Linked DNA regions of Mus musculus: regions 1, 2, 3 and 4 are each reported to be linked to region 5. Evidence: microRNA targets listed by miRTarBase, many of them from high-throughput screens and not tested one by one. Region 5 holds a microRNA gene; each other region holds the end of a gene's coding sequence.

Evidence for each region. Region 5 holds the annotated microRNA mmu-miR-146a-5p (UGAGAACUGAAUUCCAUGGGUU, at 1,851-1,872, opposite strand). A microRNA usually pairs through its seed, bases 2 to 8, with sites in the 3' UTR of a target mRNA and lowers its output. Matches are read on the target gene's strand: a 7mer-m8 pairs with bases 2 to 8, a 7mer-A1 pairs with bases 2 to 7 and ends in A, and an 8mer does both.
Region 1: miRTarBase lists Wnt5a as a target of mmu-miR-146a-5p. Seed matches in the 3' UTR shown: 7mer-m8 at 2,442-2,448 and 7mer-m8 at 2,930-2,936.
Region 2: miRTarBase lists Rsad2 as a target of mmu-miR-146a-5p. Seed matches in the 3' UTR shown: 7mer-A1 at 903-909.
Region 3: miRTarBase lists Map1b as a target of mmu-miR-146a-5p. Seed matches in the 3' UTR shown: 8mer at 3,184-3,191.
Region 4: the mRNA of Wnt1 is a reported target of mmu-miR-146a-5p. Seed matches in the 3' UTR shown: 8mer at 721-728 and 7mer-m8 at 1,090-1,096.

What each region holds. Positions count from the first base shown.
Region 1 is chr14:28,522,261-28,526,260 of GRCm38, forward strand. It overlaps Wnt5a (wingless-type MMTV integration site family, member 5A), which reads left to right. Exons shown (of 5, transcript NM_009524.4): 5 at 222-4,000. The coding sequence ends at 680. Among named protein-coding and RNA genes, the nearest start is that of Wnt5a, 19 kb to the left of the region's middle.
Region 2 is chr12:26,442,112-26,446,111 of GRCm38, reverse strand. It overlaps Rsad2 (radical S-adenosyl methionine domain containing 2), which reads left to right. Exons shown (of 6, transcript NM_021384.4): 6 at 542-3,369. The coding sequence ends at 706. Among named protein-coding and RNA genes, the nearest start is that of Rsad2, 12 kb to the left of the region's middle.
Region 3 is chr13:99,422,457-99,426,456 of GRCm38, forward strand. It overlaps Map1b (microtubule-associated protein 1B), which reads right to left. Exons shown (of 7, transcript NM_008634.2): 7 at 1-3,505. The coding sequence ends at 3,350. Among named protein-coding and RNA genes, the nearest start is that of 6430562O15Rik, 12 kb to the left of the region's middle.
Region 4 is chr15:98,792,221-98,796,220 of GRCm38, forward strand. It overlaps Wnt1 (wingless-type MMTV integration site family, member 1), which reads left to right. Exons shown (of 4, transcript NM_021279.4): 4 at 196-1,610. The coding sequence ends at 684. Among named protein-coding and RNA genes, the nearest start is that of Wnt1, 4.4 kb to the left of the region's middle.
Region 5 is chr11:43,372,585-43,376,735 of GRCm38, forward strand. Mir146 (microRNA 146) reads right to left here and starts at 1,877; the gene lies at 1,813-1,877.

The sequences.
Region 1 (4,000 bases), not on the chromosome of region 5:
ATCTGAATGTGATAGTGGTGGACAGAATGATAAAGACTAAGAAGTTGCAGAGTTTCAAAGAAGGCAATACAATATTTCTAGTGGTGGGAAATGAAGATGTAACACAGCCTTGAATTCAGCCAAGGGACATGGCTGCCTCTACAAAGTGTGTACTAGGCCCATGCCTGCATCTCGCCTCCTCCAGGGATCAGTACAATAACCTTCCCCCTTTCTTCCTACAGACAGTATACAACCTGGCAGATGTAGCCTGTAAGTGTCATGGAGTGTCTGGCTCCTGTAGCCTCAAGACGTGCTGGCTGCAGCTGGCGGACTTCCGGAAGGTGGGCGATGCCCTCAAGGAGAAGTATGATAGCGCGGCGGCCATGAGGCTCAACAGCCGGGGCAAGCTGGTGCAGGTCAACAGCCGCTTCAACTCCCCGACCACGCAGGACCTGGTCTACATCGACCCCAGTCCGGACTACTGTGTGCGCAACGAGAGCACTGGCTCGCTGGGCACGCAGGGACGCCTGTGCAACAAGACCTCAGAGGGGATGGACGGCTGCGAGCTCATGTGCTGTGGGCGTGGCTATGACCAGTTTAAGACAGTGCAGACCGAACGCTGTCATTGCAAGTTTCACTGGTGCTGCTATGTCAAATGCAAGAAGTGCACGGAGATTGTGGATCAGTTCGTGTGCAAATAGTGGTGTGCCTGCCCTTCACCCAGTCCCACTCCCAGGACCCACTTATTTATAGAAAGTACAGTGCTTCTGGTTCTTTTTATTTCTCCCCCAAGAATTGCAGCTGGAACCATGTGTTTTGTTTTGTTTTATTTTGTTTTTTCTTTTCTGTTACCATCTAAGAACTCTGTGGTTTATTATTAATATTATAATTAATATTTGGCAATAGTGGGGGAAACTAAGAAAAATATTTATTTTGAGGATCTTTGCAAAGTTAGTACAAAATTTCTTTCTTCTGATGCTACAGGATAAAGGGGAAAAACTATGTATTCGAACTTAGCTGTGCAGTTGGGGGTTCACATCTAGAAGGTGTAGGAGCCATTTTCTTCTCAAACAGAGAGTCCTTTGAGATGGGTGGTATCCAGGTGAAGGAGGAGGTACAGACCCATGAATAACAGTTCCTGTGACCAAAATGAATTGCAGGTGCTCTGGTACAAAAGATCTTAAATATAGATATATTAAATATACATATATGCCAAAAATACAGAATATGAGACACTCCCTAACCCAGAGGTTACCAGCCTGGTTTTGTGGGTTTTTTGTTTTGTTTTGTTTTTTCTTTTTTTGGGTTTTGTTTGTTTGTTTGTTTGTTTGTATTTTTGGTGTGTGTGTGTGTGTATTTCTAGAATGATCTTTTAGAAGGTACAAGCAAGAATCTCATATCTTCAGAAGCAGGCATATCATGTATGTTACTGTGTCCCACCTACAGATACTCCATTCATGAATGGGCCTTTTTCTAACAGTTCATGAATATTGGGGAGCCGGTGGGCTGGGGGAGGGAGGTCCCCAGAAATTAGAAAACTTGAAGTTTCCTACATTGAGGCCATAATCTTGTGTTAGCCCAGCTGATTCTTAATACCAGACTTTTAGATCCATAAAGGAATTTTTGACTAAAAAAAAAAAATCTTGTTTTGAAAGCCATCTTATTTTCTTAAAAATGAAAAATTACCCATGAATCCCATTTGCAACCCCTCACCCCCACAGGCAACAAGAAAGTCCCATGTAGTTGAGCACTGCGAACACCTCTGTGAGGAGATGATGGCAGCCATCTTCCTGCATGATCCCATGCCCTTTCTGGACTCTCTGCTGGCCATGCTTCCGAATGGCAGCCCTGGTGGACACTCACTGCTGGTAGGGCAGAAAATGTACACGAGGAGCCATGTTCAGAACCAGCCACTTAGGGGTTGTTCTCTGAGGCTTTTCTTTGGAGGTACGGTAACTTGATGTGTTTTGATGATATCTCTTGGCCCAGGGAGTCCACAGAGGTGTTGCAGCTGTTTGGTTGTTATCCTCCTGCGTTTAGACTTTCCATTTGTGCTTTTCCTATTACCCTGCAGGTGTACCCTAAAACTGTTCCTAGTGTACTTGAACAGTTGCATTTATAAGGGGGGATGTGGTTTAATGGTGCCTGATATCTCAGTTTTTTTGTATATAACATATATATAAATATACATATATAAATATAGATATAATTATATCTCAGTGCAGTCTGGGATTTAGACCTACAGTTTTCTCTGGGCTTGCTCTCTGCCTGGAGTATCGTCCTTCATTGCAGTCCAATTGGGATTTCTTTTTTTCCAAAAATTTTGAGTCTTAACATTGACCTGTGACAGGATCCTACCACGAATACCAGGAAGCAAGCTAAGACTCGGAGGAAGCTCTCAGGGCTCATGTCCTGAATGTATGTTGGTTAGAAAGTAGCCTTTCTGCTTCCTGCCCATGGCCAGTTCTCCACCCTCTCTTTGGTGTTCTTTGTGGGGAGGGCACTGTGGTTTGTCGCAGCCCTGGACTTCGAGAGGCTCCCAGAACCCAGGATCACCAGCCTCCTGTCTGTTTGCTTCACTCCTTTCCCAGGGAGGACTTGGGACTGTCCTGTCTGACAGGACGGATCTGAGTTCCCGAAGCAAACCAGCTCACCACATAGATAGCTAGTTTAAACAATGTTTTAAAATAAGGGCACCTCTGTTTCAAAAGTGACATCTGCTGTGTTGTTTTCGAGGCCTGATACTCTTACAAGGTTTGAAAAAAAATGTGTGTATCCATTCATGGGCTTGGTAGCCTTCTGGTCACCTCAGTCCTGTGGCTCTTAACTTATTGCCCAACAATATTCATTTCCCCTCAGCTACAATGAATTGCAAGCAAAAGATGTTGAAAAAAAGCACTAATTTAGTTTAAAATGTCACTTTTTGGTTTTTATTCTACAAAAACCATGAAGTTCTCTCTCTCTCTCTCTCTCTCTCTTATTTGTTAAATCAGATTATGTTCTTTTTTTGTTTTTGTTTTTAGTGATTCATGTTTATGAGCAGAGTGGAGTTTAACAATCCTAGCTTTAAAAAAAACCTATTTAATGTAAGATATTCTACGCATCCTTCAGATATTTTGTATATCCCCTATGGCCTTTATTCTGTACTTTTAATGTACATATTTCTGTCTTGTGTGATTTGTATATTTCACTGGTTAAAAAAAAGAACATTGAAAGGCTTATGCCAATGGAAGATAGAATATAAAATAAAATGTTACTTGTATATTGGTAAGAGGTTTCAGTTGTCCTTCAGCTAATTCATGTAGAGAAATATTTTTAGTTGAAGCCACAAGAGACAGCTTAGGGCAGTTATGTGTTCAAATAACAGAAGAACAGACTTTTTTTTTTTTTTTAAACCAAACCCAAACTGTTGGGAAACCTCAATAGAGCTCTATATGTATTGGAACAAAAGTGGAATTCTCTTCTCCTATATATGTTCCTTCAAAAAGAGAGAGAGAATCAAGCAGATGGCTTAAAGCTGGTCACAGGATTGCTCACATTCTTTTGGCATTATGCATGCGACTTAATTGTTTGAGAGTGTGTTGCTATTGTAACATCCCAGAGATGAATCAAAAAGGCTCACCCTCTCACCCAGGAGCAGCTTTTCAGCTTATATACACATGCATGTACATGTGTGTGATATGCATGTGTGCATGCATGTTTGTATTTTTGTGCTTGCCACTATAACTATTGCACCTCTCTATTCGGTTTGACTGAAGAGGGGTCTTGTGGGACATCTCTGTGTCCCAGTCTTTATGGGAAGAAAGCAAGGGTCTGCAGAGAACAGGAACTAAAGAATCCCTGTGTGATGTGCAATTAATAGAAGGCCTCCTGCTTTCTGGAAATGTAGACCAGAATCTGGCCAGGACTGTAGACTGATACATTATCTGGTCCTTTGCCTTTTTCTTTTCCCTCCCTGCCCCTCCCCCTCTTGCTTTATGGATAACCTTGTAACATATTGAAACCTTTAAAGGAAACCAAG
Region 2 (4,000 bases), not on the chromosome of region 5:
GGAAAGAATCAGAGGAAGTCTATGAGGATAGGATGTGTTGGGGGAACTTCTGTTCTTGACCCAGCCCTTGCTCCCCTCGGTAGCCTCTGTCTTGTCCCTATTCCTTCCAGGAAAAGCCTGGGTGAGGATTCACATCACACACAGCTGCCATTTTACTGAGGTCATTCAACTGAGCTTCTGCACAACACAGGGCAGCAGCCGCTCTGCTCTGTGCTCTCAGTTACCTTAGTGCACATGTCTAACAAATTCCGATGCCCACACTTAGAGAAAGTCTGTTCTTAATGTCCTCTCCACTCCAAGAAAGCATCAAGTCCTTGGGCCGTAAGACTGTACTGTTCATGACACTCGGCCCCTACAAATGTTCAAGTCACCCTCGGCATGGGTGTTCGTCATGTGAGTTGGGCATGGAATCTGATTTTAGATCTCAGTAAACATAGACCATGCTTGGGATGTCGGAAATACTTTTGATAGGATACCCTCCATTGAGTTTTACAGGATAAACCATATGGAAGCATACTTATTTCTACCTTGCTTTTCCCAGATGCGCTTTCTGAACTGTACCGGTGGCCGGAAGGACCCTTCCAAGTCTATTCTGGATGTTGGCGTGGAAGAAGCAATAAAGTTCAGTGGATTTGATGAGAAGATGTTTCTGAAGCGTGGCGGAAAGTATGTGTGGAGTAAAGCTGACCTGAAGCTGGACTGGTGAGGCTGAGATGGGAAGGAAACTCCGACCAGCTACAGGGACATTCACGCCCAGCTATCCTTCAACAAGCTACATCTTCTGGCTATCTACGGACTGTTGTTATTAGAATACAGTCTGTTTATTTTTCTTTCAGTTTGACTGAACTAAAAAGGGAGTAAAATTATGCAGCAGATAATCGTCCTCCACAGGAGAGAGTTCGGTTCTCAGAGGAGCAAGGTCCAGTGACCCCTAAGAACCAGCATTTCATTTATATTTGAATTTTTGTGTGGATTTTACTGTGAATCCCACATTTCCTTTTTCCTTTTTGTTCCCCTTGAGAAACTGGGTTATTTTTTGCTAACTATGCCAATTTTGTCAACAGGAAACTTCACAAAACACACCCTCCAATTACTGCTGACTATTCTAATGCTTTTCTGCTTTGGAATATTGGACTTTTTACTCAAAAGTGTAGAATCAAGGCATATCTCATAGAGCCTTAAGTTAGAATCTTACTCTTATGGAAGGAGTTATTTCCTAGAACAGGCTGTTTGTTCATGGTCCCAGCCTCTGATGCTGCTGCTTCAAGATGGCTGCTTTATACTGCAGCAATTCCTTCAGGGTTCTTGACAAAGCCAAGGTACACTTTACCTCCCAGGGTGTGGCCATGAGGATGCCACTTCTGCAGCTGCAACTGCCCTGGCATTGAGGCTGCTTGAGTCTCTCATGCTGAAAGGTTGTCACACTTTTCTGAAAAGCTCCAAGGCCATGTGGCACGTCCAGAAGAGTCGTGGGGGGATAGACAGGAAGGAGTCTTTCAGGAATATAAAATGTGGCAGCTGGCTTGGTATAAATGTGCCTGTGGTTCCTTAGCATATCTTTCAAGAAACACTGAAACTTGACCTAGTCTAGGTCAACATGAGAAAAACAAAAAAACAAAACAAAACAAAACAAAAAAAAAAAAACAAAAATAACAAAAACAAAACCAAAAACAGTTCCTTCTTTACACCAAAAAGGCAAAAGACAGAATGTGAACTAGCCAAAATCTTCCTGTGGAAGCATTGCATGAGGTTATTAAGCCTAGACAGTGCCTCACTGCTTGGAAAATAATTTCCTATCAAAGAGTAAAGCCATGGAAAATTTTGTTCTGTCCAAGAAACTGAACTCCCCTGTAGTTCCACTGTGGCCGCTAGAGGGCCCCGGGAAGTCAGACCTCATTAAGTATCTCAGAAACTTTGCTTCTGAGTCTATTTTTAGGACTTGGTGGATTTTGGTTCTGTTCCTTCTTTGTTTTATTTGCTTTTGTTTGGGGTTTTTTTTGGTGCTTATATTAATACTAAAATTTTTCTAAGGAACTGGAATTTGGGGTATTTACTCACAAAAGATGTTCATACTTTAGTTAGGTCATTATAATTCAACTGAGACACACTTTGTCTCATGAAAAATATAGGTCAGGGTTTTCTGTGTTTTCTAGTGTGTGTGTGTGTGTGTGTGTGTGTGTTTTACCTATTTTTGCTTGAGTATAAATATAACTATGTAGCCCAGGCTGGCCTGGAACTCATGATACCTCTGCCCTAACCTCACCCTCTCAAGTGCTAGGGATTGCACGTGTGTATTAACCAACTCCTATGTAGATTTTTCTATGTGAAATTTGAGTCACATTCCCCCTGAAGATTGTGATTTTTTTTTTTAGTTAAGTCCTGTGTGCTTAGTTCACCTGGGAAATCCCAGAGGACATGGCCAGACACCCACTTGATCAAATGAGAGGAAAGCAATCATGAAGCTGAGGTCCAACCTTCTGAATTGCAGTATATTTTCTCCTGGCTGAGGGAAGCTGCATGTCTCTTTCCCTGATTAAAGTAGAACATGATGAGAATCTGCTTGGGAAATGAGCCACCATTCTAAATGTACCCCCCCACCCCCCGCCTTGTGCATGCACAGGAGGTGTGTGAGATCTCTGTGCTTAAAATATTCAAAAATCTCCCTTTCCTAAAGGAAAGAATTACAATATTTTATTATCACAGTAAAGATCAAACTTGGATTAGATCATTCATTGGTTACATTTTCAGTGTTAAATCTGGGTGCTCATTTTGTGAAGCAGATGCTCTCTGCTGGGAGAATAGGGGATGATCTAGTGGACATTTGTTAAGTGTTACAGGCTGATGCCTTGTGTCCCATGACTGATTGATGCAGAGTAGTAATGCTGTGAAGGGGGTTTTACTCAAGAACTTCAGAGGCTAGGACATCTCACACTGATTTTACAGCCTTTGGTGTCTCTGTTATAATGTGTTCAATGATAAAATCATGGGCTGTGTTTTTGTAAGAGGGACGCTTCATGGTGTTATTTGAAAAAAAAAAAAAAGGTCCCAGGTTTCGATCTGTTTGGAGTTTGGAGTCTAATGGTTGCATAGATAAACAGGCGACCAATCACACCCAGCAGCAGTTAGCTCCTTACCGCAGTAACTCAGCTCATGGACTGCCCTCTTGATGGATTGATGTTGTTTCATAAGCTATTATTAGACAAAGAACCATCACGCAGGCCTCATGTGAGTATGTCCAGATGAGGTCTAATGCTCAGGGATATATGTATATGTATCTCTCTGTGGAATTACACTGTGTTCTGAGGCATCGCTCTAATGTATGGTAACATGATCTGTGAATTAAAATGTTCTATACGTGGCCTAAGACTCTGTGTTAGTATCTCTTTGATGTGTTATAATCACTGCACTTTTACATGGTGAGTTTGCTAGACGTGAGTTCACTTTATAACTCAGCCAAGTTATGGATACTGTCAGCTCCTGACATTCCACTCTGCAGCAGGGCTGCATGGAGCTGAGCCGCTGGAGAAAATGTTCCAGCCTAACATTAAAGGCACTGTTTGGGAGCCCGGCCATCAAAACCCTATCAGTCTCAGAAGGGCAGTTGTGCAGCTGGCCAGAAAAGGTTGTCCCAAAGCCCTTTCTGTGGCCACCAATGTGAAGGGTGATACTGTTTGGTAATACTTTGTAGTACTTGATAGTACTTGGTAATACTTGGTCAGCAGTTCAGGACCCAGAACCAAATCTGCTCTTCTAGGCCCAGTCCCCATGAAATGGCAGAGTCCTGAGATATCCACAGTCCAGCTTACAATTGTCAAGTAAAGCCCGATATATAGTCACCTTTGCAGCAGTAGTTCACACAGAAGGGCAGGTTTCCAGCACCGGATCTGAACTGAATATTTTAGAAGACTCAGTGGTGGTCATGAAGCTCTGCTGATTGGCAATGGTGGCCGTCCAATTCTGCTGAATGCCATCTTCTCCCGGGCACTTCCCCCACTTCAAC
Region 3 (4,000 bases), not on the chromosome of region 5:
CATGGAAAATGGTGTTTGGGCGAGGGGTCGGTCACTGTGTCCAGTCCCATCACAAGACTGAGAAAGCATGCATGGGGTTCGGGGTTTGGAAAAAGAGGACAGAATTGGTTAAAATTGAAATGGAGGATTATCGCTAAGATTTAGTCTCTGTAGAATTTTGTTTACAAATACTACTAAAAAGGTCATGATCAGGAGTGCTAGCTCAATAGAATTCCATCATTTAAACAGGGTGGAAATGCCTTCCACTCAAATATTCAATCTATACAATTGGATTAAGAATCGTATGCACAAATCTTCTAGAAGTCTGTGTCGGTTTTTAGCTTTCACCACAAATGTACACGGTCCCATTGTGGTGGCTACCTCTAAACTAATTGTGTATGTATGGAACTAGCAAGATCAGATTAGCCACACAGGTAGGAGAGGTGCCTGGGAGGTCAGGAGCCCCTTGTAAAGCAAATGTACTTCACCCTGGTGTCCTCGGCTCGGCTCCGTGGCCATCACTGAGGACAGGGGTGCAGGAGGGTGCCTGCCAGATTGTGTAGGAATCAGAGCCAATGGATCAGTGACAGTTTTGTGAAGCATTTTTCCCCATTAGATTCTGTAGAAACAATAAGAGGTATGGGGGTCGAGTGGTTATAACTGAAGGCTGGCTATGGCTCTTCTAAGGTATTTATATATATATATTAAAACAAAATAATATAAAGGCTAAATAAATTTAAGTTGGAAAACTGGAAGATAACTCCATCTTCTATGAAAGAAAAGTCAACCAGAGGTCTGGATTTGGCAAGAAGGCTAGAAATTGTTTCTCTTCACGTGTGGACCAGCCTAACAGCTCCCATTAAATTACTATCTTGTGTGTATTGAGCTTGTCTGATGAAGTGAGAAGCAAGTGGGCTTACAGGCAACGAACTCTGTTTTCATCAGGATGACTTTTCCATCAGATAGGACAGTTTTGTACCTTTAACGTGTCACTGTTACGGGTTTTGAAAGAAACAGGATAATAAATAAAAAAGCTGCATTCCTAGAGACACCTAACAAAAATAGAATATTAATTTTCTTTAAAAAATTAAACATTTGGAAAATGTGATTCACAGCATTAAGTAGACTGCATGGGTTCTCAGTGAGGAAACCCCTGGAGAAATATTGTTTAAACCCTCAGAGTAAAAGAGCAGTGCGAAACATACGCTTTACAGACGAAAATAAACTAAAATGTAAATTTTGAAATAAATAACTAACATAGAAAATAAAATGAGGTCATTGTTCACTACCCCGTAGATCTTAAGAGTCTGCAGGAAACGTAGCATGACCGAGCACAGCTGCCACTGAGAAGTTTGCCACCTCTGAACCCTGGGACGTGAATCTGCCACTTGAAACTTGGCGACAGTTTTCCTCGCGATCTGGCGGCGCAAGTCTGTGGTTCAGTGATGACATCGACAGACATTATGTCTGAACTCTCTACATGGTCAACATAGAAGTTGAGAATTCATTTGTTTTCAATCTATTACTTCTCTCACTGAATGTTTTCCAGGAAAAACAAAAACAAAAAACCAACCCAAGCAAACTGGGTGCTAGGGTACTTCTGAACTTGGCTCTTTTACCTCATGGTGAATAATCTTGAAAGGAGGAGGGGATAGCACTGGGTGATGCCCCGGACAGTAGCCTACCCCGCCACCTACCCACTCTCAAACAGCACGGACTCAACTTTCACGGTATGAGAGTCAAAGGGCAGGAGGTACCACCGTTTCTGGTAGTGACAGGTTTTTAAAAATAAATATCATGACTTCAATATCAGACTTCAAATCTTGCCAGAACCTTAAAAAAACTTCAATTTTTGTCTTACAAAAAACACTTAAAATAATAATTAAAAAGAAAGACCATCGTTTCAAAATTTTCTTTGCGTTTTCCTGTAAATGAAAACATTTGTTAAAAAGTTCATCTATGAAAAGTTCTCGAGTAGCTAAAAAAAAAAAAAAAAAAAAAAAAAATCTTCTGTACATGTGTTCCCATGTGTTGAAATTAATGGAAAATTAAAATAGCCAATGCAAGACAAAGGAAGGCAGATGCTGTACACTTGCTGAGAGCTCTTCCACCATAAGATTCACTGTTTTCCTGGTTCTGATCAAAGAAGCCATTCCGGTCTTGAACTTGAAGAATTAAAGAAGCTACGAAAGGTGCAACGGATTTGGTTGAGTGGCCACGGGTACATCAGAAGTGGTGATGTTCACCAAGCATGACTCTGCACTAAACCGTTGGGCCAATCAGATGAGCTTCTGGTACCTTCCCTCCCCACACGCTCCTTTCCCTGGAGTATCTACAATCCTACATGGATGGTTTAAAAACTTGCTGTCTCACATTAAAAAATAAGTGCATCAGGTGTCTTTGTACATTCAAGTCACTTCCTAAGGCAAAATGTCTCCCATGTGTACTCCCACCTGCTTTGGTATTTGCTTCAGTTAACCGGGGTGGACTTGGGTGTTGCTGCATGCAGCTTGACTTGGTGTGGACTTGGGTAGACAAATGCTGGGAGCATGCCTTAGATCAACCTACTCACGTGTTCGAAAAGTCTGAGAGTTCTGAATGGGGCGCAAACCACTCACTCATCCAGTCTACACTTGCTACATTATGCCGTGTGCAGCCTTTATAATAGCAAAGGCATTGAATTAAGGCGTGAAAAAGCTCATGCCCTCGTAACAGGCTTCATTCTTTTTGTTCTTTAGAAACACGCTTTAGGAGAATAAGACTCTTTCTGATGACTCTGATGAAAATGGGAAACTCCACCTGTGTAGACCACAGAATAGCTGTGGTCTGAGAAAATGCAGACCTGGTTGCTGGTGTCTTCTCTATACCCCATCTTGCCCACTCTCTCTCCCTGGGCATCTCATCAGAACTCTCTACCTTTGTCTCTTGCATTCTTTTTCTTTCTGATTCTTCCCCTCTCACTCTCTCTCTCTCTCCTGCAGTCTCTTTGTCCCTCTCTCCCGCCTCTCTCCCTCCCCTCCCGCTGACTCTCTTTCCCTCTCTTTCTCTCTCTATGATAAATGCCAATACCTAGCAGAAGTCAGTTGGGTGCGTGAGTGCATGGCTTCCGAATGTTCAGCAGAGATGAACGGGGGTAGGCAATTTTGCAGTAACTCGAAATCTATTGTGGGAATATGGTTACTTCCCTTAGCAGTCAGCAAAAATTGAGAACTATCAGTGACTTGCATCACCATGACATAGTATAGCATCTGGCAGGTAATAACTGTTCAGTGACTTAATTGGATGAATGGACGTTTTAGAAAAGGTAGTTTCAAATTCAAGAATTTCTGGAAACACAGTTCAAATCCTGTGGTGTGGCCGGCTGCGGTCTCTACAGTTCTATCTTGCATGCGGGGAAGGACTCGTCTTGCATGACCACTGTACTGCTGCTTGCTAAGACCATGATGTTGAGGTCCTGCTGCTTCTCGTGGGTCTCCTGGTACCACTCCCTCATCACCTCGGAGTCATGTGTCGGAATCAGAGTCACCTACGGAGGGGGAGAAAAGGAGATATTTAAAGGACAGCAGGGATAGATGCCAGAGTAAAAACAGAACAAGGTGTCTGTTGGATCACTAGCAGAAAGGGATAAAAGGAAAAAAAATGCCGTTTTACCAGAAAAATACCAATGAAGTTTTCAACTGATGTTTTCCAAGAACCACAACCAAGCTGTAAAAATTAGAAGGTTTTTTTTTTTAATTTAAAAAAAATTTTTTGGGATGTCATTGAAGGGAAGAGTTCAAGCCTAGAATCTAAATTACCTAGGAACTTGCATGTAAATTTCAGATGGCTTTTTAACGAAGTGGTGTTGAGAACTGTTTGTTTCTCGTGTTTCCATTAACATGGGGCAGATGTTGTACAGCCTATATATTCCACACTTAGTGCACGAAGTTTAATATTGTAGCTCAAACCCCCAGAAGCCCACACATTGGCCTGAAAACAGAGTCTGTGCTGTAGGAGGGGAGTACCGACTTTGGTACTTCTC
Region 4 (4,000 bases), not on the chromosome of region 5:
GCCGAATGTCCCTATCTCAGCGGGCCATTTTGCACTTCCTCTCTCCCGAGCTTAGTCACACCTGGACCTTGGCTGAAGTTTCCACAGCATCGACGTGACCCGGGTGGGGTGGGGGTGGGGAAGTATGGGTGGTGGTTCGTGGGATGTTGGCTTTGACCTTTTCTTCCCTCCTCCCCTCGTCCCCTCCTCCCCCAGACCGTGTTCTCTGAGATGCGCCAAGAGTGCAAATGCCACGGGATGTCCGGCTCCTGCACGGTGCGCACGTGTTGGATGCGGCTGCCCACGCTGCGCGCTGTGGGCGACGTGCTGCGCGACCGCTTCGACGGCGCCTCCCGCGTCCTTTACGGCAACCGAGGCAGCAACCGCGCCTCGCGGGCGGAGCTGCTGCGCCTGGAGCCCGAAGACCCCGCGCACAAGCCTCCCTCCCCTCACGACCTCGTCTACTTCGAGAAATCGCCCAACTTCTGCACGTACAGTGGCCGCCTGGGCACAGCTGGCACAGCTGGACGAGCTTGCAACAGCTCGTCTCCCGCGCTGGACGGCTGTGAGCTGCTGTGCTGTGGCCGAGGCCACCGCACGCGCACGCAGCGCGTCACGGAGCGCTGCAACTGCACCTTCCACTGGTGCTGCCACGTCAGCTGCCGCAACTGCACGCACACGCGCGTTCTGCACGAGTGTCTATGAGGTGCCGCGCCTCCGGGAACGGGAACGCTCTCTTCCAGTTCTCAGACACACTCGCTGGTCCTGATGTTTGCCCACCCTACCGCGTCCAGCCACAGTCCCAGGGTTCATAGCGATCCATCTCTCCCACCTCCTACCTGGGGACTCCTGAAACCACTTGCCTGAGTCGGCTCGAACCCTTTTGCCATCCTGAGGGCCCTGACCCAGCCTACCTCCCTCCCTCTTTGAGGGAGACTCCTTTTGCACTGCCCCCCAATTTGGCCAGAGGGTGAGAGAAAGATTCTTCTTCTGGGGTGGGGGTGGGGAGGTCAACTCTTGAAGGTGTTGCGGTTCCTGATGTATTTTGCGCTGTGACCTCTTTGGGTATTATCACCTTTCCTTGTCTCTCGGGTCCCTATAGGTCCCTTGAGTTCTCTAACCAGCACCTCTGGGCTTCAAGGCCTTTCCCCTCCCACCTGTAGCTGAAGAGTTTCCGAGTTGAAAGGGCACGGAAAGCTAAGTGGGAAAGGAGGTTGCTGGACCCAGCAGCAAAACCCTACATTCTCCTTGTCTCTGCCTCGGAGCCATTGAACAGCTGTGAACCATGCCTCCCTCAGCCTCCTCCCACCCCTTCCTGTCCTGCCTCCTCATCACTGTGTAAATAATTTGCACCGAAATGTGGCCGCAGAGCCACGCGTTCGGTTATGTAAATAAAACTATTTATTGTGCTGGGTTCCAGCCTGGGTTGCAGAGACCACCCTCACCCCACCTCACTGCTCCTCTGTTCTGCTCGCCAGTCCTTTTGTTATCCGACCTTTTTTCTCTTTTACCCAGCTTCTCATAGGCGCCCTTGCCCACCGGATCAGTATTTCCTTCCACTGTAGCTATTAGTGGCTCCTCGCCCCCACCAATGTAGTATCTTCCTCTGAGGAATAAAATATCTATTTTTATCAACGACTCTGGTCCTTGAATCCAGAACACAGCATGGCTTCCAACGTCCTCTTCCCTTCCAATGGACTTGCTTCTCTTCTCATAGCCAAACAAAAGAGATAGAGTTGTTGAAGATCTCTTTTCCAGGGCCTGAGCAAGGACCCTGAGATCCTGACCCTTGGATGACCCTAAATGAGACCAACTAGGGATCCAGGTCTCCTGAGAGAAAAGCCTGCTCAAAAGCTCCTGCAGGGCTCTTCCTCCTGTTCTGGCAGCAGCTGGTTAAGTGATGAGGACAAGTGTGTCACCTGATGGGGACTCAGCACACCAACAGTCCAGCTCTCCTAGTGCAAGAGCTGGGGAGGTAGCAGCAATGAAAGGAAAGGATAGCCATGACTACATCCTGAGAGGGGGGGGGGGAAGCTCAAGCAGAAAGGGTGTCATTGCCCCTGGGAGGCTATCAACCTTTTCTGCAGTCTGAGCTTTGAGCAGTGGAAGGCCCACCTCTTACACTCTTCCTGGAAATTCTTTATTAGCAACCCAACCCTAACCTACAGGTAAGGGACATCCAGGAACAAGCCATGGGTTAGAGCTGGAAAGATGGCTCAGAGGTTAAGAGCACTGGCTGCTCTTCTAGAAGTCCTGAGTTCAATTCCCAGCAACCACATGGTGACTCACAACCATCTGTTAATGGGATCTGGTGCACTCTTCTGGTGTGTCTGAAGACAGCTATGGTGTGCTCATATAAATAATAATAAAGAAATGATATTAAAGAAAAGCCATGGGTTAACAGTGGGCCCTAAACTTGAACTAGAAAACTTAAAGATGCTCATAGGGAAGAAGAAAAGAGCAGAAAGCTTAGCTTCTAGACAGGGGTAAGGCTTAGAGCTCAATAAAAAAGGAACCCCAAGAGTGATTGGTCCACAATCAAAGCAGTAAGCTAACCACACCCACAAAGAGCCAGAATGAGGATTCCTTATGACCTGCAGGCTACCTCTGTGCTTGCAGTCACCAGTCAGCAGGAAAGGAATCCTTCTCAGAGTACTCAACCTGACGCCAGTCATTTCTTCCTCCCTTCCTTGTCCAACCAGAGCCTTAGCCCTGACTCAGGGAACACTAACCCTTTCCAATACCTGACCTTCATCATAGCCCCTTCCCACCAGAGAGGACCCGAAAGGCATTGACAGAAGCTACAGAGGACCCCCGCCTTCCCAAGAGCCATAACCAGTCTCAATCAGCTCAGAGAGTTTCTTCTTCTTCCCAGGATCCTTTGCTGCAGGCTATCACCTCTGGGGAAGGGGGGGGGGAAGAGGTGGGGGGGGAGGGGTGAACTCTGACCCCTGTTGGTTTTTTGACTCTGTGAGTGGGTAGAGAAGTAGATTCAGGGCCTGCTCAAGCCATTTCCTTGCCTTTCTCTCCACTGGCAAAGCTAGCACTGGGTCAGTTCTGATGAGTGGATCCAACCTGGGATACTGGATGTCTGGATGTCTAAAAGGTTCTGGGTCTCCAGTGATGATCATCCAGAAGAGCCTACTCAGTCCTAACCCAAGCTGAGCTATCAGCCCCTCAGCGCTCCCAAAGTATGAAGCCATTGGGCTGTCCCAGGGCACAAATGTGTGTGTGTCTGTGTGTGTGTCTGTGTGTGCATGCCTGCACATGCTGTGTTGCACGTGTGTGCCTGTGTGTATGTGTGCATGCACGCATGTGCACATGCACGCTTGTGTGTGTGTGTATGTGTGTATGTGTGTGTGCATGTGCACGTGTGTGCACGCATGTGCGAGAGTGTGTACGCGTGGGCTGCTGTAACTCAATGTATCAGGGAGAAGCAGCAGAATGGAGGAACCAAACCATCGCCGACCAATCTCACCCAAATCCTAACCCAGGAACCTGGAAACTAGTGTGCTGAGCAGAGGTGTCTTTCAGGAGTTGGAAAGAGAGCACCACCACCCCCTTTTGCCCAGGTATTTGACACATCTTTTGTCTTCAGTCTTCTCAGTCCCATTTGCCTTGCTTGACCCTTAATTGAGAATATTCAAATATCCATCTTTGTTGTCGCTTAAGGAGGGGATAGGCTTCAAATGACATAGTGTCTGTGACAGCTTGGGTTGTGTGGACGGCTACTGATACCTTTTCTGTACTAGCCTCTGTCAAATGCTGGCAGTGCAGCAATCTACAAGCCAGAGGTCCAGCCAGGACTCAACCAGGCCAACAAACACTAACAGGCATAGAGGGAAAGACCCTCGGTGTGCAGGAAAGGCTTCAGCACCCTTCTCTTCCAGGGGCTGGAACTTGGAAGAAGTGTGCCATGGGAAAATGCAGAACAAAGCCAGGGCCCAACACAACATGCACAAATAAAAGGAAACACTTCAGATAAAAGTGCTGGAAATGTGTGGCGTGATGGTAGAGCACG
Region 5 (4,151 bases):
GTGCGCATCTGCTGCTCTCCACGGCTTGTCTGCCGAGGTCATGTGGCCAGCAGCTCTCAAGCTTCTCATGCTATGACTTCCTCCATGATGAACAATACCCTTGAACTGTGAGCCAAAATCAACCATTATTTTTGCCAGGCCATTTTATCATAATAACAGGGGAAAAAATCCTTTTGTTGATGTGTCTATATTATGGAGATGAGGCTTGGTAAGATTCACTGAGATCGTATAGGCAAAGCCCTGGATTTAGGAGTCGATGCACAGTAAACACCTACGTTCCTCAGTTGAAAGACTGAGCATGTGGGTGCTGTACAGTCCCCCATCTCATGCTACCTCCCTCTCTTTTCATTCAGAGACAAGAGTAAGAAGGAAATCCCAGGACACCAAGACGTAGTGATGAGTCAAAGAGGAGTTCCCAAAGCACAGGGCACATTCCTAATTCCCCACTAATTCAAAAGCTTAATAAAGTCCAGATAATCAGCAGCAGCAAATCAAGCCCAACTCTCAGAAGAGACCCAACATGCTTGGTGACAGAGGTCTTTATTGCCTCTCTACAAGGACCTGAGCCCCATCATTTAATAGACTATATGTCCAAATAGACTTTCTAAGGCTTCTTAATCCTCATCCCTGGAAGAAACTGTCAGTTACAGTGGAGTGTAATTACAACTTCTTTTGTCTTGTTTGGAGGTACAAAAGAACACTCTACCCCTTGTTTGCTTAAAGTAGGCAAGAAAGCACAGGTTCAAATAAAAGGGATGAGGGGCTATAAGAAGGATGTGTTCTTTATCCTTTTTTGCTACATATCTGAAAAAGCAGCCAAACACCTCAGCAGACCATGCTAAAGGATAATTGCCACATACAATTAATTCCATCTGGTCCCATAAAGAGACTGGGAAATCACTGCTTGGCAATCCTGTGTCTCTCAAGCTTCATTAAAGTGGTGTTTCCCATGAGTCTCCTATAACAGCATGCATAGCACTTAGTCCCCTTCATACCTGACTCATCCTAAATCATGGAAATGTAAACAAGAGTCACAGCAGCAAGAACCACTCAGTGAGGCTATTTATAGGATGCTTCGCTTTTCCCAACCGGAGGAGGAATTGCCATACTATATTGCTTAGCACTGTCAACCTGACACAATCTTGGATCATTTAGAAAGAGTGTTAGTGAGGGATCATCTCGATCAGGTTGACCTATGTATATCTGTGGATGGATATATTGATTATATTAATTGGCATAGGAAGATCCAAGCCCACTGTAGGCAGCATCATTCCCTAGGCAGGTGATCCTAGACTCTTTAAGTGTAGAGAGGGGGTCAAGTACAAGTAAGCATATATATTTTTTCTCTATTTTTTTCCTCTTTGTTGAGACACAATCTCACTATATAGCTCTGGCTAGCCTGGAACTTGCTCTGTACATCAGGCTGGCCTACCAGAGAGCCACCTGCCTCTGCTTCCAAATTTCTTGGAGTGAAGGTATGTGCCACAATGTTTGGCTCTCTTTTTCTTCTTGACGATGTATGAGACGAGCTGCTTCAAGTTCCTACTTTGTCTTCCCTATAATGATCAGCTGTGACCTGGAATTATAATCTAATAAACCCTTTCTCCCCTAAATTGTTTTTGTCAAGATATTTTATCAGAGCAACAGAAATGAAATTAGAACACACATCAATCCAACATGACTCCCTCCGGTGCCAGCAGTTCCACGCTTCACCCCACTCTCTCCACTCTTCAAGTTCCTTGGCAGACTATGAAGGCCTTCAGAGTTTGTTCCAACCAGTGTTCTTCAGGTCCGTGATGACAGAGCTATCCCAGCTGAAGAACTGAATTTCACAGGTCTGACATTGATATAACCCATGGAATTCAGTTCTCAGAGCTGGGGATACACACAGACTCTCCAGATGAGGCCTTCCTCCCAGGCCAGATCCTGCCAGCCCTGTAAAAACACAAGAGAAATCTCTGATAAATCCAAAAGCACGGCCTCTGCAGACTGGACACTCTTGATGCATAAGGATCTGGGACACAAGATAGGCAAGTTCATAAGCAATCATTAAACATGCTGGGCATGTGGTGCAAGCCTGTAATCTCAACATTCATGAGCCTGCAGCAGGAGAAATGTCAGTTTGAGGCCACCCCATAATCCCAGCGAAGAAGAAGGTGCATCAAGAGGACTGCTGGTCCAAGGGCAGCCTGAAGTACGTAGCAAGATTTTCTCAAAAGCAATCAGGAACATGACAGATGGTCTTTCCGTCCCCACTGTGCCCTCATACATGTGCCCCTGGCCTGGAAAACTGCCCTCAACGCCTATTCCTCCTGAGGCTCTCACCTACTGAATCACCTCCTCAGCAAGACCATCAATAGCAGAGATGACTGGATTGTCACCCTGTGTCTCTTCTGTGTTCACCGAACCCACCACCCCTCCCCCCCACACACCGTGTACACACACTCCTGGCACAAAGGCCCCATTTCCTAGAGTGACCCAGTTCTACATGGAGACAGAGCGCACAGTACAGCTGCACCCACACCATGCAATGTGGGCCATGCACCACCCATGATAGGGCAGGGCATGGCACTAGATGATCTTTGAAACTGTATTTCTTCACGTCAGCAAGAGCAGGACCTTCCCCTTTTCAAGCCACTGCTATTTAGGCATCTGTTAGAATCATTGAGTGTAATAGCCTCACTAATACCTCGTCTCCGTTCCCCAGTGATACCTGCCATTCTCCTGTGTCATGTTCAATCCTTCCCTTCATAGTTATAAACTAATTGATAGAGCCTTTGATGTCATTGTTGATAAATACTATCTCCCAAACAAGACTATATTTTCACAGGGGCAGAGCCCATGCTAGTGCTTTTTTTTGAAAGTATATAAACAACAGCTCGGCAAAATGGAGCATTCCTGTAACCCTAGCACTCTTGAGGTTAAGGCAGGAGGATTTCTGTGAGTTCAAGGTCATCCTGGGTAGCATTATGGGTTCCAGACCAACTAGCATTATAGAGTAAGTCTCTGAACAAAAGACCCCCCTACAACAACAAGTAATTTTTTTTAAATAATTGTAACTGTTTCTTTGAAATAGAACTCACGACTATACAATTTACCTACTCATAAAGGATAAAACTCAATGGCTTTCAATATTACCATGAAGTTGTTTGATAGCCACCATAGTTAATCTAAGAATGTTTTAATCATCCCTAAACTACATGCTAATCACATTTACTCCTGACTTCTATACCCGACCTCTAGGCCATGTAAATACATATTATTTCCACTTTTCCTAAATATTTATTTTTTATTGTTTATTTTAAGTATGTGTAAGTGTGTGTGTGTGTGTGTGTGTGTGTGTGTGTGTGTGTACATGAATGCAGGTGGCAAAGGAGGCTACAGAGTCCCCCTAGAGCTAGATTTACAAGTTGTTGTGAGCCACCAACATGGGTTCTGGGGAGCAAACTTGGCACCTCTGCAAGAACAGTCTGTGCTTTTAAACACAGCCCCCTCTCCAGCCCACCTCTGCTCTATCTCAACTACAAATGCTTCTAGGGCCATTCCCAGCTCTGTGCTGATAGATGCTGTCATTTCTCTTGACTCTGTAACTCAGAGTAGATGGTGGGGTTCCATTACATCCATGTCTCTTTAGAGAACTCTCACACTCTCCACTAAAGCTGCTCCACCATTTGACATTTCCTCCGCCAGGGTCTGGGGGTTCCTTTCTCCACAGCCTTGCTATATGGCCTGACTTTTTGATTGTAGTTCTCCCAGCAGGTACAAAGCGGTGCCTCACTGTGGTTTTGATTTGCCTCTCCCTGGTGGCTAATGAGGTTGCGCACCTTTTCATCTATTTACTGCATTTGCACAGCTACTTTGTTCAGACAAAAAAAAAAAATTCACATATTTTGCAACTTCTAAACTGGGCTGTTTGTCTTTTTATCATTAAATTATAAGAATTATATTCTAGATATATCATATGATTCATATTTCCAGGGGGGGTTCTGACCCTATAAGCTCACTTTTAACTTTTTTCATGTCGGAGTAGGGAGTAGGTGTTGGTTCCATAATATTATTTCCAGCTTCTAGAACACACTTGGATCATAGACACAGTCCAGAAATTTTTTTTCAAGAAAGGAGACAGAGTAAATGCTATCCTGGGTTCTTAA